Elephas maximus indicus: one gene and its partners. The protein of the gene in region 2 purifies or fractionates together with the protein of the main gene of each other region. This does not show direct contact. Links are inferred from orthologs where the notes say so. Each region holds a gene or a part of one and is shown on either strand. Other genes may lie near its edges.

What was found.
Region 1: the proteins of SNRPA (region 2) and SNRPD3 purify together in Homo sapiens (affinity purification with mass spectrometry; 3 studies listed by BioGRID and IntAct, with this or other methods). This does not show direct contact. The link is inferred for Elephas maximus indicus from reciprocal best matches to the Homo sapiens genes SNRPA and SNRPD3.
Region 3: the proteins of SNRPA (region 2) and SNRNP70 purify together in Homo sapiens (affinity purification with mass spectrometry; 4 studies listed by BioGRID and IntAct, counting the BioPlex papers as one, with this or other methods). This does not show direct contact. The link is inferred for Elephas maximus indicus from reciprocal best matches to the Homo sapiens genes SNRPA and SNRNP70.
Region 4: the proteins of SNRPA (region 2) and SF3A1 fractionate together in Homo sapiens (co-fractionation; 3 studies listed by BioGRID and IntAct, with this or other methods). This does not show direct contact. The link is inferred for Elephas maximus indicus from reciprocal best matches to the Homo sapiens genes SNRPA and SF3A1.

The regions. Positions count from the first base shown.
Region 1 is NC_064840.1:23,012,568-23,019,568, reverse strand, and holds the start of SNRPD3 (small nuclear ribonucleoprotein Sm D3), read left to right. Parts: upstream 1-3,981; 5' UTR 3,982-4,108; intron 4,109-5,628; 5' UTR 5,629-5,646; coding exon 5,647-5,772; intron 5,773-7,001. Other genes in the region: protein GUCD1, read right to left, coding at 3,654-3,864. UniProt on the Homo sapiens protein: Plays a role in pre-mRNA splicing as a core component of the spliceosomal U1, U2, U4 and U5 small nuclear ribonucleoproteins (snRNPs), the building blocks of the spliceosome.
Region 2 is NC_064829.1:110,909,083-110,916,343, reverse strand, and holds the start of SNRPA (U1 small nuclear ribonucleoprotein A), read left to right. Parts: upstream 1-4,249; 5' UTR 4,250-4,358; intron 4,359-4,790; 5' UTR 4,791-4,812; coding exon 4,813-4,885; intron 4,886-7,261. Other genes in the region: ACTMAP (UPF0692 protein C19orf54 homolog), read right to left, coding at 202-326, 830-898, 2,934-3,244. UniProt on the Homo sapiens protein: Component of the spliceosomal U1 snRNP, which is essential for recognition of the pre-mRNA 5' splice-site and the subsequent assembly of the spliceosome. U1 snRNP is the first snRNP to interact with pre-mRNA.
Region 3 is NC_064829.1:99,440,933-99,448,293, forward strand, and holds the start of SNRNP70 (U1 small nuclear ribonucleoprotein 70 kDa), read left to right. Parts: upstream 1-4,341; 5' UTR 4,342-4,554; intron 4,555-5,299; 5' UTR 5,300-5,309; coding exon 5,310-5,456; intron 5,457-7,361. UniProt on the Homo sapiens protein: Component of the spliceosomal U1 snRNP, which is essential for recognition of the pre-mRNA 5' splice-site and the subsequent assembly of the spliceosome. SNRNP70 binds to the loop I region of U1-snRNA.
Region 4 is NC_064840.1:26,017,036-26,024,820, forward strand, and holds the start of SF3A1 (splicing factor 3A subunit 1), read left to right. Parts: upstream 1-4,773; 5' UTR 4,774-4,794; coding exon 4,795-4,857; intron 4,858-7,785. Other genes in the region: CCDC157 (coiled-coil domain-containing protein 157), read right to left, coding at 4,448-4,493. UniProt on the Homo sapiens protein: Component of the 17S U2 SnRNP complex of the spliceosome, a large ribonucleoprotein complex that removes introns from transcribed pre-mRNAs.

The DNA of each region.
Region 1 (7,001 bases), on a different chromosome or scaffold from region 2:
CCCAGGCCTCTGCCTGAGGTTCTCACATGCTTGCCTCCTTCTCCTTCCACGGATTTAGTCCTGCCTGATTCCTGCCTGTCCTTCACCCCAAATTCCTCCCCCAGCCCCAACTCTGTCTCCACACACAGCTGCCTGGGGAATCCCATGCAGTTTCCCAATGCTCTTAGAGTCCTCTCCTCTTCCTGTGGCCCTGCCCACCCAGGCCCCACCAGCCTCATTCACCCTGCTGCAGTTACTCTGTGAACCCATCAAGCTTCATCCTGCCCAGGGTCTTTGCACATGCAGGGTGCCCTAGCCTAGAACTCTCTTCCCCCGGCTGTTCTCAAGGCTGCTACTGCTTGTCATCAGGTCCCAGTTCAAAGTCTCCTCTGAGCAGCTTTTCCTGACTATACCTTTTGAGGGCAAAGGGGGGACCCTCCTTCATAGCATCCTCTTTGTTTCACATGGTACTTATCAAACGAAACTAAAAAAAAAAAAAAAACTATTATCTGTCTCCCCACTAGACTGTATGGTTGCTGAGGGAAAATACCTCACCTCATCTTGTTCACTGTTATTCCCAGTACCTGGCATCCGATGCTTAAGATCCCTGGGTGGCGGAAATGGTTTGTGCTATCCTGCTAGCAGAAAAGTTGGTGGTTTGAACCCACCCAGCAGTACTGTAGAAGAAAGACCTGGCAATCTGCTTCGGTGAAGATTAAAAATCCAAAACCAAGCCCACTGCCGTTGAGTTGATTCCGACTCATAGCAACTCTGTAGGACAGAGTAAGAACTGCCCCATAGAGTTTCCAAGGAGCACCTGGTGGATTCGAACTGCCAACATTTTAGTCAGCAGCCGTAGCACTTAACCACTACACCACCAGGGTTCCCTGGTGTAGATTACAGCCACGAAAATTCTATGGAGTGGTTCTACTCTGTGACACATGGGGTTGCCATTAACGACAGTAACAGTACCTGATGCTTAGGAGTAACTCAATATCTGTTGGAAGAAATGAACTTATTAAGCACTCGCTGTGTGTCAGGCTCTGGGGACACACGGGTGATTAAGACTAAGCCCTGCCTCTGAAGACTCATATTCTAAAATAAGTATGCCCCACATGGGCTGAGGGGAGGGTGCAAGCTCTATATAGGGTGCTGTACAATCATGGAGGAAGGAAGGTGCCTCCCTTCTCAAGCACCCCTCGCTGTGGCCACACACCACCTGTTTTTCTCTGCACAGGCTGTTTATGCCTAGCCTTTGCACTCAAGGGTGCCTTAGTCTGCACCGTTCCTCCCATCTTTGAACATCTGGATACTCTGATTCCGATCCCCTCCAGGCCTCAGTGTAGAGTACCTGAGGTCACACCCACCTTCGCCAGCCAACAGCCTGAGAACACCTCAGTGGCAGGCAGGGAACCTCTGCCCCGAACAGGTGTTCAGACATACTTGGGGAAAACCAAAACCAAACCAAACCCACTGTCATCGAGTCAATTCTGACTCATAGCGACCCTATAGAACAGAGTAGAACTGCCCCATACAGTTTCCAAGGAGCACCTGGCAGATTCGAACTGCTGACCTGTTGGTTAGGAGCCGTAGCACTTAACCACTACACCACCAGGGTTCTCCATACTTGGGGAAGAGAAGGCATTTTCCTGAGATGCCTGGGGCTGCTTGTCACTGCAATGATTTCCTGCCCCCAGGCTTCCAGACCACTGCCCTCTGCTTAAGGCTGCCTCCCTACTTTGGTTGGCACCAGCTCTGGCCACACCAGCTAGGCCATCTGTGGCCAGACCTCCCCTGTGGCCATGCTTGGCAGCATTCTCTAGGGCCCTGGGAGTCTTAGCTACCCCTCCTCCTCATGCCCTGAGCTCCAGAACCCTTGATCCTGAGGCCCCAAAGGGCCAAAACCCCAGGTGGCTGTCCCCAGCCTTGGCCCAGGCAGGCCACTCTATAGAAAGCTGGAGGTGATTTTCTGCGTGTGGTGGGTGGAAGGATGATAAGGGCAGGCAAGACCTTGGTTTTTGTCCTGATAACAGCTTCAGCCCTTCAAGCCCACAGCCACTACCAGATGTTAATACATGGCACCAAGGAACACCCCAAGAGCTGGGCCTGCTTGGAGGGCCCTGGCATCAGCTGGCAGCTGTCATCAGAGAAGGGAGGGCGCTCAGTGGCCCTGGGTGCTCACCACCTCTCAGCCTCAGTCTGCTCATCTGTAAAACTGGGAATAACAGCAGCAGTAGCCTCCTTCATGAGGTCATCATGAGGATTAACGAGGTACTGCACATACACCACTCAGCACAGTTCCCACCTCATAGGAAACCCCCTATAAATATGAGCCGGGACTCGCTCAGGCTCAGGAAAGGCAATGTCCTGCCCAAGAGCGTAGCTGAGCTAACTGGAGAGCAGGGCCTACACTCTGCGGCAGCATCAGACCCCTGCTCCACCCTGCAATAACAAAGGCGACCCCTCCCTCGTGTGAGGACACCATCCATGACAGCTCAGGGCCAGTCCCATATGCTTTGGCCTCTCCCTGAGTTGGCACCTCTTCTCAGCAGAGCAGGAACCACCGCACTCCCCCACTATCCCCTTCTCAGACAAGCAAACTCAGGCCGCGGCACTGCCCCACCAGTAGTGGCCTCTGCTTCCCCAAAAGGCCCCCTTAGGGCAGAAGGAACCAAGGGTGAAGACATGTAGCAAGAAAAGAGCTGACCACAGTCTGAGAAGGGGAAGAGAAGGGGCGCACTCGCTCTGTGCTCCCGCCCAGTCCCCTGCCCTTCTCTGAGCCTCAGCGTCCTCCACAGTTCCCCGAGGGGACACATCTTCCACGCGTCTCCGGCTGGACTTCCCGCTTCTAGGCAAGGTGGCGCCCCGCCTCACAGCCGGGACCGGCCCCACCCCGCCCCACGGCCGGGCGACAGGGGCCTCAGCTCCGGGAGGACAATGAAACCCCGACTGGCAAGTGGGGCTGGGGCGGGGTGTCCAGCTGGCCCCGTCCCGTCCGAACTCCAGAGCGCTGCCCAGGCGGCAGTCCGCCCAAGGTCGCGCGGCCGGACCCTCGTCCCCCGGGGCCAGGGTTAGGCCCTGGGGAGGCACTGACCGGGTTCGAGCGGCGGTCCCGCTGCCTCCGCCTCCGTCCTCATGACCCGGGCGGCGCGGGGCGCCCATGGCCCCGACCTGGCGCAGGCTACCGCTCGGGCTGGGGCGGGAGCGCGGCGGCGGCGCGTCTGGTCCGCGGAGGGGACAGAAGGCGACGGTCCGCGGCCCCGAGCCCCGCCCCAGCCCTGCCTGGCAGCGGCCCCGGACGCCCCGCCCCCACCTGGGCCCCGGCTTGGAGGCCCAGTCCCTTCCGTTCCCCAGCCGCCTGATCGAAGCCTGCCCCGGCCATTCGCTGTCTCGCCTTCTCTTGACCCCGCCCCTTTCCCTAGCCCTTGCGCCGACGCACAGGCCCGTCCCCGCGGATCCCCGGAAGCCCCACCCCTTTCTTGGAGCCCCGCCCCGAAGGCTGGCGCTCTCCCTTAAGTCAGGCTCCGCCCCTGTGGGCCTCCCTCAGGTATAATCCCTGGCCTGCCCCTTGTTCCGCCGGGTCTCCAGGAGACCCAACCCTACTCCGACTACTCTATACCTCAGTTTCCCTGTCCATATAATGGATACCTCGCCTCGCTCGGGGCGCTCCTTACCGGGCGGTGCCGGGTTCCAACGGCTAACTTGCGAGGGCAGGTCCTGGCGCTTAGTCCCACAGCCTGCCGCCCCCGATCCGAGAGCCCAGGCCCCGCATCTCCGCCTTGCCGTCCAACTCGGCCTTGGTGTGGGGTGCCTGGAAGCGCGAGCTCCCCTTTCCCCTTGCCGGCCCGAGTATCGGTGTTTCCGGCGGCACCCAGGCCCTGTCATCAGCACGCTTTTTCGGGGCCGGAACTATAGTGCCACAGCCCGCGTTTCCCATCCGGTTGGGTGAGGAGGCAGCCGAGGCGAGACAGCGCCCACCACCGGAGAAAGGAAGGGGGCTGGCCTCGCGCGCGGCATTCTGGGAACGCGGGGTCTTCTGGGAGCGCGGGACCGCCATTCGCTCGCTCACGCTTTCGGTGCTGCTGAAGTCGCTTGTCCACGGAAGAAGTGGAAGAGGAGGCCGCAGCCGGTGAGGAGAGGCCGGGGACGGGTGACGGGAGGCCGAGGCTCCCGTGAGGGGCCGGGGCTGGGGAAGGACGCGCTGCCTTGAAGTTCTGCGGGCCCCTGGGAGGGAGGAGAGGGAGAAGCCCGGGGCAGTAGCGTCACCTCACTCGCGCCTGGAAGTGGGTTTATTGGCTCCTTCCAAAACTACATATTTATCCTTTTTGTACACCTCTCCATGTCATTGTTTTTTTTTTTCAGTATCCAGAAAATAATACTGGAATCGTTTCTGAGTGATTACCTCCTTTACCCCAAATCTTGTTTGGAGCTTCCTTTTCAAGGTTTTTTCACTTCGGATCATCTCCTGCTTTCCACGCTGTTGCAGAAGTTTTAAATGCTGCTACGTGTTCATTGGGTCATTTCTTCGCATGATTCTGCAGTGGTTCTCTCTGTCTTCAGCATAAAATCCAAACCCCTAAAGCTAGAACTCAGGGATTCTCACCAAAGGAAACCAACTTTTCCAACTTCATGGTCCCTTTCCGGGGTAGCGTTGAGTCTCCTGGAATCCCTTTCTGTTCTAGTCTTCAGCCTTTGTTCATTGCAGATTAAAAATGTTTGATGCTTTTTTCTTTTAATAGGTCCAGTCAGGTGCTTGCCCTGGTTGGCTTTTTTCTATAAGATAAACCTTTTTGCTTATAGCATGTCACTTTGTGAACTCTTCGATATTTTCTTTTTAGCTTCAGTGGTGATGTAAATGGGGTGCCATGGGACACTAAATAGATTGACTTAAAAGCATAACTTCCTCCTAAATTTGTTGGTGGATCTTTTGGTCTGCGTTGTCCACTGTGGTAACCACTAGGCACCTGTGGCGTTTTGAGCACTTGAAGTATTGCTAATGTGACTGAGGAACTGAAATTTTAGTCGTATTTCATCTTTTTAAAGTTCTAAGTAGCTACATGTGGACTGTGGCCACTGTATTGGGCAGCTTGGGTCTGTATCGTAGGTTCTCAAAGTGCAGTCGCCCACAGCAGTGAGTTGGCAGGTACGTTTGTACAGTACATGCATTCACTCCCCTCCCTCCTGTAATATTGGCTAATGGTCATTTGGAGAAGATAAAGCGATCTGGTAGTGAGGAGGGAGACGGGAGGCACTCTCTTCATTCCCCTTAGCCTTTTCTGCCCAGCCCCACTTTTCACCCTACCCCTCATCTTGCACTGTTTGCCAGATAGTTTTTTCCAAAGGAGCTAAACACCTTTTTCAATAGCTCAGGAAATACAGCTAAGTTTTATGGAGTGCCAGACCCTGGTGGTGTAGTGGTTAAGTGCTACGGCTGCTAACCAAAGGGTTGGCAGTTTGAACCTGCCAGACGCTCCTTGGAAACCCTATGGGGCAGTTCTACTCTGTTCTGTAGGGTCGCTATGAGTCGGAATCGACTCGATGGCACTGGGTTTGGTGTTTTTGGTTTTTAGGCCCTGAAGGAGGCATGTGCATGCTATATGCCTGTTCTGGTTCTGAAAGATGAACTAACTGTTGTCTCTCTCACTGCAGAGTTTTCTTCCTGCCAAGATGTCTATTGGTGTGCCGATTAAGGTTCTGCATGAGGCTGAGGGCCACATTGTGACATGTGAGACGAACACCGGTGAGGTATATCGGGGGAAGCTCATCGAGGCAGAGGACAACATGAACTGCCAGGTACCTTGCTTTGCATATGAGACTGAAGGGGATAATGTGAGCCTGTGTTGGAGGACAAAACTGTGGTGACTAGAGCGCCTTCTTGAAGTTGGTCTCTTTCAACAGTTATTACTGAGTGCCTTATGAGTACCAGGCCCTCTTACAGGTACTCAGGATGTGGACATGAGCAAGAGACTTACTGTCTCGAGGCAGAAATGGTGTTTGGAAATTTGGAATATTTACTTGTCCTTTGTTTTCTCCATTCCATAATCATTTTCTCCCATATTTTGGGGGCTTTTTGAGATAAATGACACTATTCCTTTCAGGTTCAAGGCCATTATTAAGGCATGACATGTTACAGTTAGTAGCATCTCCTACTCACATGCTGTATTTACTTGCCATCTTCTTGGAGAAGGGGTCCCATTTGATTATTGCATCAGTTATTGTGAGGTAGGCAGGTTTGGTAATAGTTTTGTCATCTATGAAAATAGGATTCGTCTACTAAATGTCACTCCATTAGTATATGATGGCATAGCCTCCTGATCTGGTTCAATTCCCATGACACAATTTGCCCTTTTTCTCATAATCGTGATATTAGAGTCATTTTACGAAGTATAAAACAGCCGGTTAAGAGCATGGACTTTGAAATCAAAGAAATATGGGTTTGAATCCTAATTGTATAACCTCAGGTATATTAATTACCTCAGTTTCTTCATCTGTAAAACAGGGGTGATGTTATTTCGGGCCATCTGAGGCACAGACACCAAGGTACAATTAGATATGCAAGAGATTTATTGGAGGAAGTGACAGGAGAAAAGAGAGGAAGCAGGAGTGGGCAAGAGAGCCACAGTCTGTCGTGCAGGCCTAACACTGGTGAAAGAATAGAGGGAAGAAAGGATCGAGTAGGAAGAGCCTGGGGCTACATTGTAGCTCTGAGGATGATTCATAGCCAAGCATAGATGACTCATTTGAGGAGTCTGGCATGGGACAGAAATGGCCTGGCTCTCGTACCCCTGCCGTAGGAGCAGTCTGGGGAGAGTAGCCTTGGGGTTTATGCAGTGGTGGGTCTCAAAGGTGTGACACCCAGAGGCCATCAGCTCCGTGCACTCCTCACAGCCTGTTCTCCCTCAAAGAGAGATCTGAGCATCTCAGGGCTGTCACAAGAATAAGCCTGAGCCCATGGCCTGTTGTCAGGACCCGATGAGCTGTGTGTGCGGCAGCTGGTGTGCTGCCTCTCCACCTCTTGAGTG
Region 2 (7,261 bases):
GGGTGATCAGCTTGCCCCAGGCCACACAGCATGGAGGTAGCAGAGCTGGGTTGGGAACCTAGTGTCCACCTCATGACCACTCCCCCCGACTGTGCGACAAGGGCTGAGGGATGGCATGAGAGCCTGTCCCGCACCTGGTAGTGCTACCCCTGGCCTCTCCGAGTGAAGACCCAGCTGCAGACCCTCCTGCTCCCAGCTCACCAGAGAACATCTCCCCCTGGGCGGTGTAGCCTCTCTCCAGTGCCACCTGCATCAGTCTCTCCAAGGGGACACCGTTGGGGGGTGCCAGGAGAGTGCCTGCCATCCACAAGGCCACTAGCCCGCACCTGGGGAGAGACAGGCAGGGGCCCAGCCCCTCAATCCCTAAGTCACTTTGTTACTGGGCCCCCTCTGCCTAGAAGCTGGAGTGTGGGGATCAGGTTTGCTGCCTTGGGGGAGTTCTCCTCCCCTCTCCCAGGCCAGATGGGGAGACCTGACTCCCCACCATGGGACAGAGAATGGCCAAGGCCTGAGCCTAGGGCTGGAGAGATGAAGGGGTGGGCAGGGAGAAACGTCACATGGGTTTCCTGGAATACAAGGTGCCAGTATGGGGTTAGAGAGGATGGACCAGGTTCGTCTTTTCACCCGTCAGTTTCTTCATTTGCTCACTCATTCATTCCAAATCTCTATTCGCTATGGACACACCCGAGACCGTGTCCTGGCAGGTCCCCCCTTCCCTCCCCAGGTCGCTGGGGCCTTGTCCCAGCCTCCCTCTGGGTAAGCCCAGCACAGGCAGAGGCTCAGAGTACAGGGTGGACAAGGGGGTGGGGTCCTGGGTCAGAGAACTTACTGAGGGCCTTCTTGGATGAGGGACGGCAGATCAGCACAGAAGAGGATCCACTGCAGGTCACTTCTGAAACTGAATCAGAGCCACACTCGGGTCAGGCAGGATCAGCTCCGAGGGGCCCCTCAAGGTCCAGGTGGGGGCAGAGCATACAAAGATACAAGGACACAGGAAGGAAACACAGGCCAGGCCATTCTAAGGCCCCAGGGTGGCTCCTGGCTGCATCACTGACTTCCTTCTCCCCCATGAGGCCCTTGCCCTGTCTGAGCCTGTTCCCCCCTCTGGCCAGCGGGAATCATCCTTCCCCCTGCGTGCTCTCTGCTCCTTCTCAGTTACTGAGGAGGCAAAGAGCAGATATGCAAAAGCCATGCAACTAGAAGCCAGGGACACAGATTAGAGAAAATTCCTCAAAGACATGCCGCTACAGCTAAACCCTGTTTTAAAAAAAACCCAAACCTGTTGCCACTGAGTCAATGCTGACTCATAACGACCCTATAGAACAGCGCAAAACTGTCTCCATAGGGTTTCCAAGGAACGGTTGGTAGATTTGAACTGGCAACCTTTTGGTTCGCAGTCAAACGTTTAAACTGTTAAATAAGGTGAAAATCCTTTAACGTGGGTGAAATTAAATGGTCACCTAAATCCCGAAAAATTTAGGCTGATGGCCTAAAATAATAAGTCCTTACGTGTCTGACCAGCCCCCCCTTTCCTCCCCCTGGGGAGGCCTGGGGAAAAGTTCTGGTGATCCCAACCTCCTCCTTTCCCTCCAGGGCTCAGGAGAGGGCAGAGCCCCAGAGTCTTCATTTCCATCTCAGAGTCAGTAAGAGAGAGAGGCTGAAGGGGAACCCAGGGCTCCTGACCAAAAAAGAGATGATGTTACAACACAGTGGTTTAAAGTGCGAAGCCAACCTAAAAACCAAAAATCCGTTGCTGTCGAGTCAATTCCGGCTCATAGCAACCCTACAGGACAGAACTACCCCATGTGGTTTCCAAGGAGTGCTTGGTGGATTCGAACTGCCGACCCTTTGGTTAGCAGCCTTAGCTCTTAACTGCTATACTACCAGGGTTTCCAAAGCCACCCTGCCCAGGTTCAATTTGGGCCCTTTCTCTTAATTCTACAGCTCGGTGATTTCATCTCTGTGAGCCTGTTTTCTCATCTGGAAAACAACACAATAATAGCTTCTACCTCATTAGATTGCTAAAAGAATTAGATAGTTCAATACTTAAAAACCATTAGAGAAAGGTGCCTGACACAATAACGAGCTCATTTTATTTGTGTTTAATTAACCTCATCATGGTTGGGGCATTTAAGACAAATTATAAACTAAGAAGAGCTTGAAAGTTCTTCTGAGTCTGGACAAGTCAGTTCCCCTGATTCCTGTCAGCCAGGCAATCATTCAACTGGGTCCTCTTCACCTCCTTCCCCTGCCCACCACCTCAACCCTGGTCTGGTCCCCTCCTCTCCAGTCTGGTCCTCCAGCTTCCTCCCTGGGCTCTGACTCTAGTCTTACCACCTACCATCTACGTGTCACAGGTAGCCTCATCCAGCGTAAGTAGTTCCTCCTATGGCTCCCCAGAGCCCTCAGGGCAAAGTCCAGCCCCCTTACCATGGCCCACCCTGCTACCTCATGTGTGATCTGGCTCCTGTCCCCCTTTGCCACCTCCCTGTCTCAGTGAGGAAATGCTTGCAATTTCTTTAAAACAGCATGCTCCCCTTTAACTCTGGGCCTCTGCATGAGCCGTTTGCTCTTCATCATGCACCCCTTGCAAGACTTGCTCAATAGCACTCAAGGTTCCCCTTCTCCAGGAAGCCCCCTCTGTCCCCAGGCTGGGTCAGGTGCCCCATTTGGGCTCCCCCATCACAGCCCTGACCACTCTGGGCTGTCACTGTTTGGTGTGGGTAGTCTGCCTCCTCCACTGGACTAGGCACTTGTGATGGCAGGACCTTTCTTCATTGATGGAGCCATACCACCACCGGAGGGCTCAGTAGGGGACTGGTCCGACCAGGCTGTTTGACCTTGAGGACAAACAGGAAACCCCAAGAAGAGGATAAAATGATCTGGGACAGGTAGTTGGTAAGATGACTGGGTGGGTGAAGAGGAGACCCTACCGGTCCTTGTGCAGCTTCAAAAGCCTCTTCACATCCTCTCTGCCGGTGGGGACTGGGCCGGCCTTCTCCAAGGCCTCCTTCAGCAGCTGGCTCTTTTCCATGCCGAAGACGTGAGGGGGAGCAAGCCCCAAAGCAGGAGGTGGAGGCGGCAGTGGGGGTGGTGGGGGAAAAGGGGTCTGGAGACTCGAGGAAATGGGTAGAAAAGTTACATCCGGGGAATTTGGAGGCACGAGAGGTGGAATGGAGGCCTGGGGTGTAGGGGCGCTGGGAGGAAGGACTGGGGGCTCTAGAGATGAGCATGGAGAAGTCATTTCGGAGTACTTGAGAGCAGCTCGGTGGAAATGCGAAGGGGAAGGATCCTTCAAAATGCTGTTTAAGGTTGGCTGCAGAGATGGGGATTACGAAGGTTTTACAGCTGAGTCCTAGAACATGGGAGCAGAACAATGGGAAACGAACAAGGTGGACGCAGGGCTTGTGCAGGCTCAAGTCGAGGATCTGAGAGTTAACAGGGTGGGGTCTTTTAATCTCACATCCGCTAGTATGGGGCTGGGGCGGGTTGGTTTGCGGGACGAGAGGGGAGGAGATTAGGAGTTAACTTGTCCAGGTCAAGACTTGGAAACTCATGAGTTAAATTTCGGGATAACGGGCCTCAATCTTGGGGTGTAGCGCCTAACACGTGGGGTTTAGGAGTCTCGAGCTAAGGACTGGGGTAATTAGACTCTGTTCCCCACCCCCACCCCCAAGCCGAAGTTCGAACCTCTGAGCTGATCTTTGAGCCAGAGGTCAAAAAGGACACTGGGTAGAGAAAACTGCCTACTTGTAGACAGGGTCCTGGAATAACTGAGAAACAAAGTCTGCGAGTTGGGAAAGGCTCTGAGCCTTTCCGGGAGGCCGGAAAGAGCGACGATGCCCGTGGAAAATGAACGGAGTTGGAAAACACCCGCCTCCTCTCCTCGCAAAATGGCGGCTGCCGCACACAGGTTTTCTCACGTCACGTGGTAGAACTCGCAACTTATGCCCGCCCCTTCGGCAATCACGTGGTAGAAAATGGCAGTGCGGGCTGAGAGGTGGGGCTATCAAAGGATCCTCGCCGGAAGAAGCTGCAGAGCGAGCCGCGTCTCGATTGGCAAGGAGCGCGTGAGGGGGCGTAGCCTTCACTGATTGGTCCGTACGCCCCGAGGCATCTGGCGGCCTAGGAAGCACACAGGCTGGGGCGGGGTTTTCTCCCTAGGCGGGAACCCAAGTGTCGTTTTGATTGGCAAGCTATTGGTGAGGGAGGTGAAATTTACTCTGATTGGTCAAACTGCCAAGTTTCCACGCGGAGATTGGCTTGCGGGAAGGCAAAGGCTGGGTCAAGGGAGGAAGCTTTGTGGTCCAACCTCAGGAACTCAGGAGACGCTACTTGTGGGAGCTGCCGTCCGGTCGGTGAGTAATCTCGGTCACAGGCGGTCATCGGCGACGGGCGGGTGGCGCAGATGGAGCTCGGACTCTCCCGCATCTTGTCTGGAGAAACTTTCCCGCTGCATGAGCCCAGGATGCCCCAAATTTGTCTCCCCTTCCTTAACTGGTTTTACATCCGGGTGTTTTCTCCTGGGCCGCCCTTTGGGCGTGTGAGTCAATAGGAATCGCCATGTAGGACGCCCCGCCTACTGGGTCGCGTAGAGCATTCTGGGACTCGTAGTAAACCTCTCGAGGTTTCCCTTAGCACGCGGGGATTAGAAGCGGTTTCTGCCCCCGCCGCGTTGCCCAAACTGACTTTTTCCGGGAAGGAAGATCCGTGAGCAGTCCGTTAAACTAGAGTTGGGGCAAAGGATTTAGAAAAACCCAGGCGTGAAGTTCCCTTTTTCCTTTTCTTAGCCCTACCTCGGCATCTAGCTCCATGGCAGTTCCCGAGACCCGCCCCAACCACACAATTTATATCAACAATCTCAACGAGAAGATCAAGAAGGATGGTGAGTTCTCCAGTGGCCCAAGCGCTGGGCTGTACCGCACGAGTTGGCCCTTCCCATCGCTTCTCTATCTTTGTCTACTCCAGCCTGCCTGTTAGAGCTAACCCTTCGGTCCTCGCACATGCTGCGTCCTCTGACTTTTAACACTCCCTTAGTTGATCCACGCCCTACCCGCTAACTTGGCCACTATTGCTTGTCTTTCACGTCTCAGTTCACAGGACCATTCCTCCCCCAGGTGTCTCCCTCTGACTTATAGGCCCTGGGCATCAAGTCCTGATCACTCTGGGCTGTCATGTCTCCCCACCAACCTGTGAGTTCTGTGAGGGCAGGGACTGGAGCTCTCTAGGTCACTGTCATGTTTTCAGTGACCAGTCCACAATGAAAATACGCAACAGTAACGGAACATTCTGTACCACGTGGTGAGCTATGCACTTTTACATAAATTTCCATTTAACAATCCTGCTGGAAGAAGCTTTTGTTAATCCTGTGTCTCAGATAGAAAATTGACACTCAAGTGTGACTTGACTTGCCCAAGGTCACACAGCAGGGAAAGTAGCTGAGGCCACCAGTTTGGAGTTCTGTTTAAGAACATACTTGACATTGTATAGACTCTTCTATTTTCTCAAGCAAGTTGTCCCCTTTACTGAATCCCACTTTTTTCTTTATCTGAAAACTGGACTAACCCAAAAACCCATTGCCATCAAGCCACTTCAGACTCATAGTGATCCTATAGGACAGAGTAGAACTACCCGATGGAGTTTCCAAGGAGCCGCTGGTGGATTTGAACTGCCAACCTTTTTGGTGAGCAGCGGAGCTGTTAACACTGTGCCACCAGGGCTCTGAAAACTGGGCAAGATCATAATACCATGTTTGCATGGATGTTGTGAGGATTAAATTAGCTAAATCTCCATGCAGTGCTTTTTATGGTACTTGGTAGGAAGAATCAGGTAGGTGTTGGTTGTTATCACAAAGGAGCTGCTGGAATTAAATTTGAGGTTACTGATAAAGTTGCTGTTGGAAAAAAACAAAACAAGGAATGTAGATTCTGCACATGCTTTTAAACTATCACGCCTGGCCATGCTAGGTGGTGAGGTGCTGAGGGCACCATGGGGAGCAAGTCAGCCCTGGCCCTGCCCTGTTGGAGCCACAGTCCAGTGGAGGAGACAGACCCGTCATCTGATTGTGACAAGTCAGAGGATCAGGGCTATGGTGGGGAGAGGCCCAGGTGGAAGAATACAGCCAGGATGAGTAAGGGGAGGGGGTTGGGTATGTAGAAGGACAGAGATTCATTTAGTTTCAAAAAAAAAAAAAAACCCAAATCTGGACATCAAGTCAATTCCGACTCATAGTGACCCTATAGGACAGAGCAGAACTGCCCTGTATGGCTTTCGGGGAGCACCTGGTGGATTCAAACTGCTGACCTTTTGGTTAGCAGCTGTTGTTTTTGACCACTAGCCACCAGGGTTTGGTAGAAGCCCTCCAAAGCTTGAGGAAGCAGCATTTGGTGAGGGAGAAAGGTATTCATGACTTTGACCAGCTATATAACTACCTAGGGACAAAAGAGCCTGGGATGTTCTGGGAACTATAAGTAGTTTTGTGTGGCTGAAGCTTCCCATGAGCAAGGCACTCCTGGCTCTCGGGGCCTTCTGGGCTGAATGAATTGGTGAGCTTATCCTGAAGGCATTGTAGAGCTATGCAAGGGACACAGTCAGTTGTCGGTTGTGAAAAATCCTCACAGCTGGGAAGGGTGAACTGGAGTGGGCAGGAGGGGAGGCTAGAGGCTAGGCAGTGGTCCTGAGTCCAGTGGAATGCCTGGGCCTCAAACTAGGCGCATGAGGACAAAAGGTAAGAGATGAAAACTAGAAATGTCACAAAGAATTTCTGGCTAATTGCTTCAAAACACCCTTGCTCCCATCCCCCCACCCCAAACAGGTACACACACATTTCCTTCACCCATCCTCTAGTATCTGTTGTTAGGTGCCGTCGAGTCGGTTCCGACTCATAGCGACCCTATGCACAACAGAACGAAACACTGCCCGGTCCTGTGCCATCCGTACAGTTGTTGTTATGCTTGAGCTCATTGTCGCAGCCACTGTGTCAATCCACCTCGTTGAGGGTCTTCCTCTTTTCCGCCAACCCCATACTCTATCAAGCATGATGTCCTTCTCCAGGGACTGATCCCTCCTGACAACATGTCCAAACTATGTAAGACGCGGTCTCGCCGTCCTTGCGTCTAAGGAGTATTCTGGCCACACTTTTTCCAAGACAGATTTGTTCATTCTTTTGGCAGTCCACGATATATTCAATATTCTTTGCTAACACCACAATTTGAAGGCGTCAACTCTTCTTCCGTCTTCCTTTGCATTGTCTAGCTTTCCC
Region 3 (7,361 bases), about 11 Mb from region 2:
GCAGTCTTGCCCTCCACTCTACCTCAGCCACCCACTTTTTAAAATAATTAATTTTGTTGTTGAGAATATACAAGCAGAACATAAGCCAATTCAACAATTTCTACATGTACAATTCAATGACATTGATTTAAAATAACTGCTTTATTGTGATATATAAGTCACATACAGTTCACTGGTTTTAAGCGTGCGATTCAATAGCTTTTAATATATTAACAGGGGGCAGTGTTGGTTCAAGGAGCCCTGGTGGCACAATGGCTAAGTATTGAGCTGCTAACTGAAACGTTGGCAGTTTGAACCCACCAGCTGCTCCACATGAGAAAAGACCTGGCAATCTGCTCTCCTAAAAATTACAGCCTGGGAAACCCTAGGTCAGTTCTACTCTACCATATAGGGTCAGTATGAGTTGTACTCAACTCAGTGGGATGCAACAAAAACACAAATGGTGGTTCAAAGGTAGAATTCTCACCTTTAATGTGGGAGATCCGGGTCCAACTCTCAGCCAATGTACCTTCCGCTTGTCAGTGGAGGTTTGTGCGTTGAAATGATGCTAAACAGCTGCAGTGGAGCTTCTGGACTCAGATGAACTAAGAATGGCGATCTACTTCTGAAAATCAGCCAGTGAAAACCCTATGGGTCACAATGGCCTGATCTGCAACTGATTATGGGGCTGGTGCAGGACTATTGTGCATGGGGTCGCTGTGATTTGGGGGCCGACTTGATGGCAAGGAACAACAATAACGTATTCTCTAAGTTGTGCATCCATCACCACAATCAATTTTAGAACATTTTTACTATCCCCAAAGAAACCCTGCAGTCCTCATCTGTCACTCATCATCCCCTAATTCTGCCACCCACTGTCATGGTCATACCCTAGTCCTCATGAATACCCCTAACTGCATCCCTTCCATAATCGTTCTTTTTGCTTTTATTTTTTATTGAACTTTAGATGAAGGTTTACAGAGCAAACTAGTTCCTCATTAAACAATCTGCACATTGGTTGCCAACCCCACGACACGTCAACACTCTCTCCTTCTTGACTTTGGGTTCCCCGTTACCAGCTTTCCTGTTCACTCCTGCCTTCTCATCCTTGCCCATGGGCTGGTGTGCCCATTTACTTTCATTTTGTTTTATGGGCCTGTCTAATTTTTGGCCGAAGGCTGAACCTCAGGAGTGACTTCAGTACTGAGCTAAAAGGGTGTCCAGGGCCATACTCTTGGGGTTTTCCACAATCATTATTTTTATCATTCCGTTGAACGTGCACGTCCTGTGCCCTGTATTCTCGTCAGGGTCTCCCCCTGGATTCTCTTCATGCGTTTTCTTCTTTTTCCGGTCAACCAAGTTAAAAACATTTTCAAGGCTACCAGCACTAACAGTCAGTTGACCCTATTAACCCTAACATGTCTCTGACTTCTTCCCCTACCGTGTCCTCCCTTCCCTCTTTCCCCTGCTTACATCCCACAAAAACCACTTGCTGTCACATTGACTCTGACTCATGGTGACCCTATACGTGACAGAGTAGAACTTTGCTCCATAGGGTTCTCAATGGCTGATTTCCGATAGATCACATAACCAGGCCTTTCTTCTGAGGTGCCTCTGAGCAAACTTGAACCTCCAAACTTTTCGTTGTGTTCAGATGGCTAAGTATTTGACTACTAACCTAAAGGCTGCCAGTTTGAACCCACCTAGGGGTGCCTCAGAAACCCTGGTAGCATAGTGCTTAAGAGCTACGGCTGCTAACCAAAAAGTTCAGTGGTTTGAATCCACCAGGCACTCCTTGGAAACTATATGGGGCAGTTCTACTCCGCCCTGTAGGGTCGCTATGAGGCAGAATCAACTCGACAGCAACTGGTTTGGTTTTTGGTTTAGAGGTGCCTCAGAAGAAAGATCTGACAGTCCGTTTCCAAAAGATCACAGTCATGAAAACCCTATGGAGTGTAGCTCTACTGTGACCAACATGGGGCCACCATGAGTCAAAATTTACTTGATGGTGCCAAATTGTTTTCCACAGCAGCTGCATCATGTTACAACCCCACCAACAGTGAATAAAGGTTCTAATTTCTCCACATCCTCGACAACACTTGTTTTCTGCTTTTTCCATTGTAGCCATCCTAGTGGAGGTAATTAAGTGATCTTTTATAAATGTAAACTATGTTCTTACTGATCATTGTTGTTGTGTGCCATCGAGTGAATTGCGACTCATAGCGACCCTATAGCACAGAGTAGAACTGCACTATAGGGTTTTCTAGGCTGTAATCTTTATGGGAGCAGATTGCCTTGTCTTCTCTCCCTCAGTGCCACTAGCTGAGTTTGAACCGCTGACGTTTTACTTAGCAGCTGAGCGTTTAACTACTGCACCACCAGGGCTCCTTTCCCCTGATCAAACTCCTTTAGCTATCTCCTATCTCATTTAAAATAAGATCTGGCCCCTGATGTAAGACTTGACTCAGGCAAGGATTAGCAATAGCTGCTACAATCATTAGGTGAGGTTGGGGAAGAGAATATTGGCATGGTGTGGAAGTCTTGCTACTTGCTAGTCTCCAGGGGAGAAATCCAGCTTTAGGAGGAAAGACCTGGCAGCCAGTACACCAAACTCCATGGAATAGTAAGCCCATCCAAATTTATGTTCCTACAGATGTGAAGCCCACCAGGGATGTGTTTTTGCCAAAATGTTTAGCTTAAATCTACTCAAGCCTTCAGACTTAATTTCCATTTTTTTTGTTGCGATGGTGGTAAATACATAGGTAACAAAGCATTTGCCATTTCAACAGTCTTCACATGTACAGTTCAGTGACATTCAACATACTCATCATGCTCAACCATCCCTGAATTTTTCCATGCTTAATTTCCATTGTACAGGCAAAACAGGGATAGTGGAACAAAGTGAACGCCATGAGGAAACAATCAAAGAAGTATAGAATGTGAAACATTGTACAGGAAAATGGTCTGAGCTCACACACACACAAAAAGTTACATCATGAAAAAAATGTGTCTGTATTAAAAGGGATCAAAGAGACATGACAACCAAATACAATGTATGCCTCTTAATTGGATCCTGGTTGGGATGAAAACAAGGTATTCTTGGGGAAATTAGAATAGGGGCTGGATAAGCTTTCTTGAGGGTGTAAAGGACTTAGTGGTTATGTAGAATGCTCTTTTCCTTAGGAGGTGCATGCGGAAATATTTAGGGATGGTGCTGCTACAATTAACTTACAAATCGTTATGGAAAAAAAGTAGTCATGCACAAAAATAAAGCAAATTTGTGAAAATATTTTTTAAAGTTATGTGCTATTACATGTTTCCTGAAATATGAAATTAATAGTTAAAATGTCATAATTTCTGTAATTATTAAACAGGCAATTGAATCCACCCAAAAAGCTTAGAAAACCATACTTAACTCATTACAAGTCTAAAAGGCCCTAAAATAACATGACTTCCTGCCTAACATGTGGTTCCTGACATCTGGTCTCAACTCAGGGCCTTTTCCACCAGAACACCAGATGCCTTAGAGTAGATTCTCACTCATGGAGACCGCATGTGTGTCAGAGTACGACGGTGCTCCATGGGGTTTTCAACGGCATATCTTTTAGAAACAGATCAACAAGGCTTTTCTCTGAGGCTTCTCTGGGTGAATTTGAACAGCCAACCTTTAGGTTAGCAGCTGAGTGTGTTAACTGGTTGCCCTACCCAGGGTTTCCCCAGGGCCTTCGCACTGACTGTTAACCCCGCCCAGACCACTGTTCAATCGGGGCCTTTGTTCAAATATCTCTTCCTAGAGGGCTTCCATTATCATCTTTTTGAAAACAGTCTCGTTCTTACTCTTCCCATCCCCTTACTCTGCTCCATTTTCTTCATTGTGCCAACCACTACCTGAAATTATAATTAATTTAAATCACTTTATTGTCTTCCCCAGTAGAACGTAAGATCCACGAGGGAAAAGACTGCTTTAGTCACATGCTATTGTTTCCAGCACGCACTAAGTACTCGACATTACCCATCCACCTAACCACTATCAACGAAGGGACTCTTTGCCAGTCGGCGCAGGGGTACAGGCAGCACATCTCACTACGCACGCGCGCAAACCCGGGAAGTGTGCTAGGGGGAGGGGGCGAAGTATCAGGGGCAGAATCTCGCGGACAGAGGCGGTTGGAGTGGCGAGCCCGAGGGGGTGGTGGCAGGTGCAAAGCGCGTGCGCAGTGCGGATACCAGGCGGTAGCGGCAAAAGGAATTTAAGGCGCTCGAAGGCGGGGCAGTCACCCCGCGCAGGCGCCTTGCCCGCGGCGGAACCCGTGCCATGTGTGCGTTGTTCGCCCGTCGTAAGGCGCGTGCGCAGTGAGGCCGGCGGAGGGATCTGCGCGGGTCCCACCCCCTATTCCCGTCGCGAGCTGAGGCCGCGCGGGTTTGTGAGCAGCGGCCTGGTGCGCGCGCTGGGCCCGCCAGAGAAGCACACGGACGCCGACGCCGCCGAAGTCTAAGCTACAGCAGGAGTCTCTGTTGCTGAGGGGCCGCCGCGAGCCCCCGGACCAACGCCAGGCCGAGGAGGGCGCCGCGCGGCTGGTGAGTGTGACTGGCCTCACCGGGAACGGGATCGCTACCCACAAGCCCCTGCGTTGGGCCCCGGCCCCTCTCCTCGCGGCCGGGCCCTCTCCCCGCGCACCCACCACAGCAATATTCTTATCTGCGACCCTTACCCAGGGTGCCTTGAGCACTCAGGCCCTCGTCCCACAGCCCCCCGCGGTCCAGTACCCACAGGCCCTTGCGGTGTATTGCCTTTTTTCTTGTCTCTTCGCGGCGTCTCGGACCATTACCCACAATTCCTTTCCCCTTTTGGGTTGGGGGGCTTAGACCTATTACCCCCAAGCCTTTGTCTTGAGGGGTTAGCTATTTAAGATCCTCTGACCCCTTCATCGGTGACTTCGACCCTCGCCCCATAAAGCGTTCCCCATCTTACGTGGGACCTCCAGGAGCACGGCTCTGGGACTCAGGATCCTTGATTGTCTCCCCAACCCCCCAGGGACCCTTTCAGCCCCACAGTTCTTTGCTCACGACTCAGTCTTCTGTACTCAGAAACGCTTTATAGTCTTTGTTTTCCTCGTAGGCCTTTCTTCCCCCTAAACCTTCAAGACTTTGCTTTCTCTTTTAGGTTTATCCCTTTTGCGTGTGACATAGGGTCACTCTGCCCTTACAGAGCCTGTTTTAACATTGAGAGCTCGCTCCTGTTTCTCTCTTTCTTGAGAGTCAGGGGGTTTTAGGGGATTCATCCTAGCCAGCCTACCCTAATTGGTTCTGGTTTTGCCTTCAGACTTGGCAAGATGACCCAGTTCCTTCCGCCCAACCTTCTGGCCCTGTTTGCCCCCCGGGACCCCATCCCATACCTGCCACCCCTGGAGAAACTGCCACATGAAAAACACCATAATCAACCTTACTGTGGCATTGCGCCCTACATCCGAGAATTTGAGGTGAGTGCACTGAGTGGACGAAGAGCGGGTTGGGTTTTGGAGTCCAATCTTGGGCTGTTTTCTTGTTGCATGATTTAGGCAGGTGATTTATTCTTTGACTCTTAGTTTCTCTGTTTTAAATGGGATTGATAATGTATCTGTTGTAGGGTTTTTCTAAAGGAACCCTGGTGGTGTAACGGTTAAGTGCTCAGCTGCTATCTGAAAGGTTGATGGTTCCAATCCTCGCAGCAGTTCTGTGAGAGAAAGACCTGGCAATCTGCCTTCCTAGAGATTACAGTCTAGGAAACCCTATGGGGCAGCTCTCTGTCACACAGGGTAGCTGTGAGTCGAAAATTTATTTGCTGGCTTCTAAAGAGGATTATTCTGAGAATTTAGCAAGTAGCAGATTAGGATTCACGTCCTAGAGTCAGGTAGAACTTGACATCAACTGTGTGACTTTCAGCAAGTGGTATATCCTTTTAATGGCTTGATCTCTTCATCTTTACTAAGGTAGTATGTTCTCATGAGATTGATGCGGATTTAAACATCAAGATTTATGTGACAGATTTTGGCACCCATCAGTGAAAGACCATGCTATCATATTTATCGTTTTTAATTATTGATAAGGTGATGTTCAAATAGGGTCTTCACGGTGTACTAGAGTACTCAAAGCCATAGGCTCGGGATTTCAGCTGTGCCTTTGCAGGGTAACCATGAAAGCATAAGTTTCTGGCTCTCAGGTTTTTCATTTGTAAAATTGAGATAACAGCACCCACCTCCTGAGGTCCATCAAGTGCACTTGAGAAATGCTGGCACACAACCAGAAGTCCTAGAGAAAACTTGTGGCATCAGGTGGTTGGGCAGTGGATTCTTCTCCCTGTAGGGGAGGGGTGGCAGGAGTTGCAGAGCAGAGGTTAGCAGCAAGGAAAGAGTAGACGGTTAAGTCTTTAGTACTATTTGCCACCCTCAGTGAACTTCGCTACCCTCAGTGAACAGTACTTTGGAAATGTAACTAGCCAATTAAACTAATTGAATGGGTGCAAGCCTGTGGCACCCTTTGCTGATGGGAGTTGTGTGCTTGTTCCTATTTAATGAGTGGTTGGTGAGACCCCCCCCCAGATGATTTGAATTATCTGTTTCTGAGCACTGCATGGTCTGCTCCTTTTGTTTGAGGCCTGGCCCCAGTTCCCCTGCTCTCATGAGGAAGGGCCTTCCCATCAGCCCACAGGGTGTTCTGTGGCCCTCTGCTCACTACAGAACGGTATTTGGGGATTGTGAGAAGCAGGTCATTCTCTAAAAAGGGAAGATTAGAGCCTTTGATAATCTGTTCTTTGGTTAGATGTTTCTGTACCAGTGCTGCTCAAACTGTCTTTCGTGGTGAAGGACACATTTTTTTTTTTAGGATTTTCAATCTATTGCTGATTGATACTTCTGGTAAATATGTTAGATTTAGTTTCATTTTTCTGGTAATTTATTGTATGAAATATATATGTAATAAAATATTTGCTCTCCCAACTCTTCTGACACGTGTAATTTGGCGACATTAATTATATGCACCGTGTTGTACAAGCATCACAACTATCCATTTCCGAATTTTTTATTATCCTTATTTAGTGATTTACGTATTTATCAAGGACACGTGTACAAAATTCACAACCATATTTTTGTGATTAGGTTTGACCCTCATAAAACTGCCCTGCTGGGTTGCTGTAGAAGTTTCTTAATCCATCCGCCTGGTTTTTGTTTTTCCCTTGTCACCGACAGCGAGCCTTAGGACCATGTGTGGCTCTGTGCCACTCCCCGCCTCCACTGTGGCATATGTGAACTGTTCATGTTTGTTTACGTAGGTGGAGCGAGATTGAGATCCTCGTTTTCTTGGTAGGTGCCTCTTGCTGTTTTCCCCAGTTGCTCCCACCCTGTCACCTC
Region 4 (7,785 bases), on a different chromosome or scaffold from region 2:
ATCCTCTCACAGCCTAGGAGGCTGGAAGTCCAAATTCGGGGTACCAGCTCCAGAGCAAAGCATTCTCTGTCGGCTCTGGAGGAAGGTCCTTGTCATTAATTTTCCCTTGGACCAGAAGCTTCTCAGCGCAGGGACCCCAGGTCCAAAGGATGCGCTATTCTCCTGGCTCTTGTTTCTTGGTGGTATACGGTCCCCATGTCTCTCTGCTCGCTTTTCTCTTTTATATCTCAAAAGAGAGTTATTTAAGACAAAATCTAACCTTATAGATTGGGTCCTGCCTCATCAACATAATTAAGATTATCCCATCTTATTAATATCTATAGAGACGGGATTTACAACACACAGAAAAAGCACATCAGATGACAAAATGGTGGACAATCACACAATACTGGGAATCATGGCATAACTGAGTTAACACATATTTTGGGAGGACACAATTCAATCCATGACAATGTGGAACAAGGGATAGCATTGTTGATGTTAGATAGATCCTGGCTGAAAGCAGAGAATACCAGAAAGATATTTACCTGTGTTTTATTGACTATGCAAGGCATTCGACTGAGTGGATCATAACAAATTATGGATAACATCGTGAAGGATGGGAATTCCAGAACACTTAATTGTGCTCATGCAGAACATGTACATTGAACAAGAGAGAGTCATTCAAACAGAACAAAGGGATACTGAATGGTTTAAAATCAAGAAAGGTGTGCATCAGGGTTGTATCCTTTCACCATACTTATTCGAACTGCATGCCTAGCAAATAATCTGAGAAGCTGGACTACATGAAGAAAACCGTGGCATCGGGACTAGTCGAAGACGTATTAACAACCTGCAATATGCAAATGACACAACTTGCTTGCTGAAAAGGGAAGAGGACTTGAAGTCCTTACTGATGAAGATCAAAGACTACAGCTTTCAGTTCGGATGACATCTCAACATAAAGAAAACTAAAATCCTCACAACTGGACCAATAAACAACATCATAACAAACAGAGAAAATACTGAAGTTGTCAAGAATTCCATTTTACTTGGATCCACAATCAATGCCCATGGAAGCAGCACTCAAGAAACCAAACAACTTATTACATTGGGCCAATCTGCTGCAAAAGACAAGTGTGCAAAAGCAAAGACGTCAATTTGAGGACTACGGTGTGCCTGATGCAAGCCATGGTACTTTCAATCACCTCATATACATGTGAAAGCTGGACAATGAATAAGGAAGACCGAAGAATTGACACCTTTGATTAATGGTATTTGTGAAGAATATTGAATATACCATGAACTGCCAGAAGAACGAACAAATCCGTCTTGGAAGAAGTACAGCCAGAATGCTCCTTAGAAGTGAGGATGGCAAGACTTCTTACATACTTTGGACATGCTATCTGGAGGGATCAGTCCCTGGAGAAGGACGTTGTGCTTGGTAAAGTGGAGGGTCAGTGGAAAAGGGGAAAACCCTCAATGTGATGGGCTGATACAGTGGCTGCAACAACGGGCTGAACCTTAGCTTCGCTGGTGAGGATGGCGCTGGACCAGGCAGTGTTTTGTTCTGTTGTACACAGTGTCACTATGTTCAGGCCAATTCAACAGCACCTAACAACAATAACAACAACAATCCAAAATACTCTCATTTCAACATGAAATCAATATAAAGTTATTAAGGAGATATTCTTCATTTCTTGTTTTATTAAGCCTGAAAAGCCAGTGTGTATTTGATATAGAACATCTCAACTTGGACCAGCCACCAATTTAAATGCTTGACAGTCACATGGGCTGGTGGCCACAGTATTGGAATGTGCAGGTGTGGAGGATCCGACACTGTCTCTTCATTTAACAACTGTGGACTGAGAACCTACTACACACCGGGCACCACGTGAAGAACTGGGGACTGAGGAGGGTACATAGAGCCATGTCCTCAAGGACCCACCATCCATGTCTGAGGGTCTCTTTTGTGGGTCAGCCTTGGGTCTGTGAGCTCCATGGGCTTCACCTACACGGTTGGGAAGGCCATGTGCGTCTGCCGCTTGGCAGGCATATGCATGCACTGTTCTAGAATGGGCCACATCCCTCACAGGCACTGACCTGTCATGAGATTTTGCTGCTCAAGAGATTTTATGTCCCTAAGGAGTGAGGAAAACACCAATGGAAAAAAACAGACTGAAACATTCTGGGTTTCCCTCCCATAATGGTGGGGGGTGGGGAAGGAGACAAATGAAAGAAGCAAGAAGCCCCAACTTGGGCAGAGATATATGCAGGTGGCAAAGTGCCTGGAACTCATGGGCTTGCTTCTTGAAGACACAATGAAACACCAATCTGTCCACCTTCAAATCACTATAGCTGCTATTTGGGGGCATCTTAGGTATCAATGCCCCTTAGATTCTGGCAAAGCAACGAGAATATACAATAGGAAAACATAACATTGAAAAACACCTAAAATTACTTTATATTGTTTTTCTGAAAATTGGGGATATGCAAATATACGCATGGTTTGAGAATCATGTCAAGTAAAGCAGACTTGATAAGGATTTTCTCTGTAATTCCTCAGCCTGGAGCTGCAGCCCTGCACCATCCACTGTACCTATGGCCACAAAAGTGATAGTCACCAATTAAGCCAGCACTGCCAATAGGTAGGAGCAGCAGCTAACTTGTGTCTCCTCAGCTCCCCCTGGCTCAAGGCAAGCTTTTTTTTTTTTTTTAATTGTACTTTAGATGAAGGTTTACTGAGCCAATTAGTTTCTCATTAAACAGTACACATATTGTTTTATGACATTGGTTAACAACCCCATGACACTCTCCTGTCCGGACCCTGAGTTCCCTATTACCAGCTTTTTTTGTCCCCTCCTGCCTTCCAGTCCTTGCCCCTGGGCTGGTGTGCCCCTTTGGTCTTGTTTTGTTTTATAGGCCTTTCTAATCTTTGGCTGAAGGATGAACCTTGGGAGTGACTTCATTACTGAGCTAAAAGGGTATCTGGGGGCCATACTCTCAGGGTTTCTCCAGTCTCTGTCAGGCCAGTAAGTCTGGTCTTTTTTGAGTCAGAATTTTTTCCTACATTTTTCTCCAGCTCTTTTCAGGACCCTCTATTGTGATCCCTGTGAGAGCAGTCAGTGATGGTTGTGGGGTCTGGTGAGGTAGTGGTAAATGTGGTCCATTAAGTCCTCTGGACTTATCTTTCCTTTGTATCTTTAGCTTTCTTCATTCTCCCTCGCTCCCGAAGGGGTGAGACCAATCTTAGATGACCACTTACAGGCTTTTAATGCCCCAGACGCTACTCACCAAAGTAGAATGTAGAACATTTTCCTTATGAACTGTGTTATGCCAATTGAGCTAGATGTTCCTGAGGCCACAGTCCCCACAGTCCTCAGCCCAGCAGCAGCTGGGTCCCTCAGGGAGTTTGGATGTGTCTATGGAGCTTCCATGACCTCAATGCAAGCTTTTGCCTCCCCTTCCATTCAATATTGAAGCCCCATTTCCCTCTCTGAGTTCTAGTACCCTACGTCATTGGTAAAGATTACGCCTACCTTGGTCAGAATCAAGGTCACCACCGTGCAAACACTTTGGAATCGCTAAAACCAGCTGTCAGTCTCTAACTCGGGGAATGCTAATTGCCTGGATCCCTGGAGACACTGAAGGAACCTTGCCTGGATCCTTGGAGACACTGAGGGGACCAGTGAAGACAGGAATAACAAATTGCACTTGTAGAGGAGAAAGTCTGGCCTGGGTTTGGATTCCCATTGTGCTAACTCTGAACTCCACTGTCCTCATCTATAAATCGGTTGCTAAAAAGGATAAATGATAGAATGTACATAAAGTGTTGGGCACAGGGTCCAGCTCATGGTGAATGCTCAGTAAATCCTAGCTGTCGTTTGTATTCTCGATTAATTATAACAACAATGACACAACCCAGCTATAGTGTGTGTATGATGGAGACCATCTATCACCCTTATTTCACAGGTGAGAAAACAGGTTCAGGCACTGCTCAGAACCCCTTCCCCGCATTCTGGAGCCAGGAGGGAGGGGAAAGGAGCCAGGGTTGAGGGGAAAGGAGCCAGGGTTGAGGGGGCTTCGGGAGGGGAAGCGAAAGGGACAGGATTCGAGGGAGCGAAGGGCGTGGTCAGCAGGGACTCACCAGTGGGGTTTGAGGGCGGGCCTATGGAGAGAGGAGGGCATGGAGAGAAGGGAGTGGAACCTAAAAAAGGCGGGCCGCGAGAAAGAGACCAGAGAGAGTTAGGGTCTGTGACTTTAAAGGGGGTTGAGGGGGTTGGAGGATGCCGGTCTAAAGCGAATAAGAAGGGTTAAGGCAGCAGGGAGGCGAAGTTTTGAGGAGGCGGTCTGAGGGGCCTTGGGAGGCGGGTCTAAGTGAGCGGGAAACAGGCGTGGAGTAAATGAGGGGCCAGGGAGGCACGGTGTGTGCGGGGAGCGGCTGGCGGGGAGATGTAGGACATCTCACCTGTCTTCAGCTTCGTGGCCTCAGCCCCTGAATCTGGCCGGCTCATGTATCTGGCCCTGGCACGCCTGCGGCTCCCTGGATCCCCGGAAACCCCAGGTAAGGCGCCCGAACCGCTGCCATGGCAACGGCGTCGCGTGAAACCAGTACCAGCGGGGGAGGGAGGGGAAGCCACGCCACGCCGAGGGGCGGTCCCGGAAGTGCGTCAGGCTCGCCTGGTTGAAGATTACTCGCTCGGCTGTCTCCGCCGCCATCTTGTGAACTCGTCGTACCGTCCGTGAGGGAAGGTGTCTTGGCGCAGCACTGCTGACCGAAACCAAGGCGGACTGGCAGCCCTGAGCGTCGCAGTCATGCCGGCTGGACCCGTGCAGGCGGTGCCTCCGCCGCCGCCCGTGGCCACCGAGCCCAAACAGGTACCGCACCCCCGTACCTCGACCGGTAGCCCCAGCCTAGGCCTGGGCCCTCCCCCCCGGCGCGGGTGTTCCTCACGCGTGCAGGAAGAAGCGGCCGTTTTGGAGGGACTACAAGTCCCAGGAGGCAGCGCGCTTCCCGTGCCGCGCTGCTCTTTGGTAACCAAGAGAATGTTGCAACAGTGGTTCTTAAAAGTGTGGTCCGCGTACCAGCAGCATGAGCATCACCTGCGAGCTTATAAGAATTCCGGGAATATCTGATTCCAACCCGTGTGAATAGGAACCTACGTTTTAACGTGCACCCAAGGTGATTCATATGCACATAAAATCTTGAGAAGCACTGATCAGCAGCCCACCCCCCCCCCGTCCCCTCTTCCCTGCCAGCCTCATGCCCAAACCAAAAAACCAAACCGTTGCCGTCGAGTCGATTCCGACTCATAGCCACCCTGTAGGACAGAGTAGAACTGCCCCATAGTTTCCAAGGGACGCCTGGTGGGTTTGAACCGCCAACCTTTTGGTTAGCAGCCGTAGCACTTACCCACTACGCCACCAGGATTTCCAAGCCTTATGCCCAGTAATCCCTAATTTTCCAGTCTGTACTTCCCACTTTTAGATGTTAATTGTCAGCATCTACAAGATAGTGTGCCAGGCTCTGAATGAGGCCCAGCTCCTGCTTTAGGGAGTTCACAGACTAATGAGAGAGACATATACATGAAAACTCAACAAATATTTATTGTCTTTGTCACCATAAATTACCCAGTTCACCACCACTTGAAAAGCTCTTAATCAGCTAAGGGGGAGAATGCCCATGGGTAATTGCAGCATGGTGGTCTATGCCCTGCAATAGGAGTATGTAACAGGGACAAAAATGGTAATTTAACCCACGCTGCTTTGATGGGGTAGAGGGGGGGTTAAGTAAGGTGAAGCCCAAGGGGTGAAAGATACATTGTTTTTAGAAGGATGAGTAGGAGTTTGGAGAAGGGAGATAGTATTCTTAATTCAGCTTTTATCCATTTATCGAGCACTTAGTATCTACTGCCTTGGGTTCAGAATACAACAGGGAACATAACCAGGCACTGGGGAAAAATAAAGTAACATCAGATAAGATAATAAGTGCAAAGGCACCAAAGTAGGCAGCCGATGATGCCCTGGTCAAGGTTAAATAGATAGTTGTGGTTGAAGTATAGGGTTGGGAGGGTGGTGGCAGGCAGTATAATTCTGAGGATTTGAACTTTTTGTAGACAGACAAAAAAGAAAAGCAGGATAGTGACGGACTGTTCTTCTACCATGGTGCTGTTAGGTGCTGTTGAGTCTGTTTCAACGCATAGTGACTTCATGTACAGTAGCACAAAATACTGCCAGGTCTTGTGTCATCCTCACAATTGTTGCTATGTTTGAGCCCATTGTTGCAGCCACTGTTTCAGTCCATCCCATTGAGGGTCTGTCTCTTTTTGGCTGATCCTCTACTTTACCAAGCATGATGTCCTTCTCCAGGGACTGGTCCCTCCAGATAACATGCCCAAAGTTTGAAACACTGAGACGAAGTTTTGCCATCCTTGCATCTAAGGAACATTCTGGCTGTACTTTTTCGAAGATGGATTTGTTTGTTCTTCTGATGGTCCATGGTATATTCAATATTGTTTGCCAACACCGTAATTCAAAGGCATCAATTCTTTTTTGGTCTTCTTTATTCATTGTCCAGCTTTTGCGGGCATATGAGTTGATTGAAAATACCATGGGTTGCCTTGGGCTAGGCACATCTTAGTCCTCAAAGTGACATCTTTGCTTTTGAACACTTTAAAGAGGTCTTTTGCAGCAGATTTGCGCAATGCAATGTGTTGTTTGATTTCTTGATTGCTGCTTCCATGGACGTTGATTGTGGATCCAAGTAAAATGAAATCCTTGACAACTTCAGTATTTTGTGTTTATCATGATATTGTTTATTGGTCCAGTTCTGAGGATTTTTGTTTTTGTATGTTGAGGTGCAATCCATACTGGAGGTTATAGACTTTGGTCTTCATCAGTAAGTGCTTCAAGTCTTTTTCACTTTAAGCAAGCAACGTTGTGTCATCTGCATATGGTAGGTTGTTAATGAGTCTTTTTCCAGTCATGATGCTCCCACCTTTATATAGTCCAGCTTCATGGATTATTTGCTCAGTATACAGATTGAGCAAGTATGGTGAAGTGATACAACCCTGATGTACACCTTTCCTGACTTTAAACCACTTAGTATCCCCTTGTTCTGCTCAAATAACTGCTTCTTGGTCTATGTGTAGGTTCCACATGAGCACAATTAAGTGTTTGAAATTTCTGTTCTTCGAAATGTCTATAATTGTTATGATCCACACAGTCAAATGCCTTTACATGGTCAATAAAACACAGGTAAACATCTTTCTAGTATTCTCTGCTTTCAGCAAGACCCATTTGACATCAGCAGTGATATCCCTTGCTCCATGTCCTCTTCTGATTCTGGCTTGAGTTTCTGGCGGTTTCCTGTTGACGTACTGCCGCAACCATTTTTTGGTAATCTTCAGCAAAATTTTACTTTCGTGGAATATTAATGATATTGTTTGACAATTTCTGCATTGTGTTGGATCACCTTTCTTTGGTATGGGCCAATATGGATCTCTTCCAGTCGGTTGGCCAGGTAGCTTCTTTCAAATTTCTTGGCATAGATGAGCGAGCATATCCAGTGTACATTCCTTTGTTGAAACATCTCAATGGATATTCCGCCAATTCCTGAAGCCTTGTCTTTCACCAATGTCTTCAGTGCAGCTTGGACTTTTTCCTTCAGTACCATCGGTTCTTGATCATATGCTCTCTCCTGACATGGTTGAGTGTTGACTAAATCTTTTTGGTACAGTGACTCTGTGTATTCCTTTCATCTTCCTGCATCATTCAGTATTTTGCTCATGGAATCCTTCAGTATTG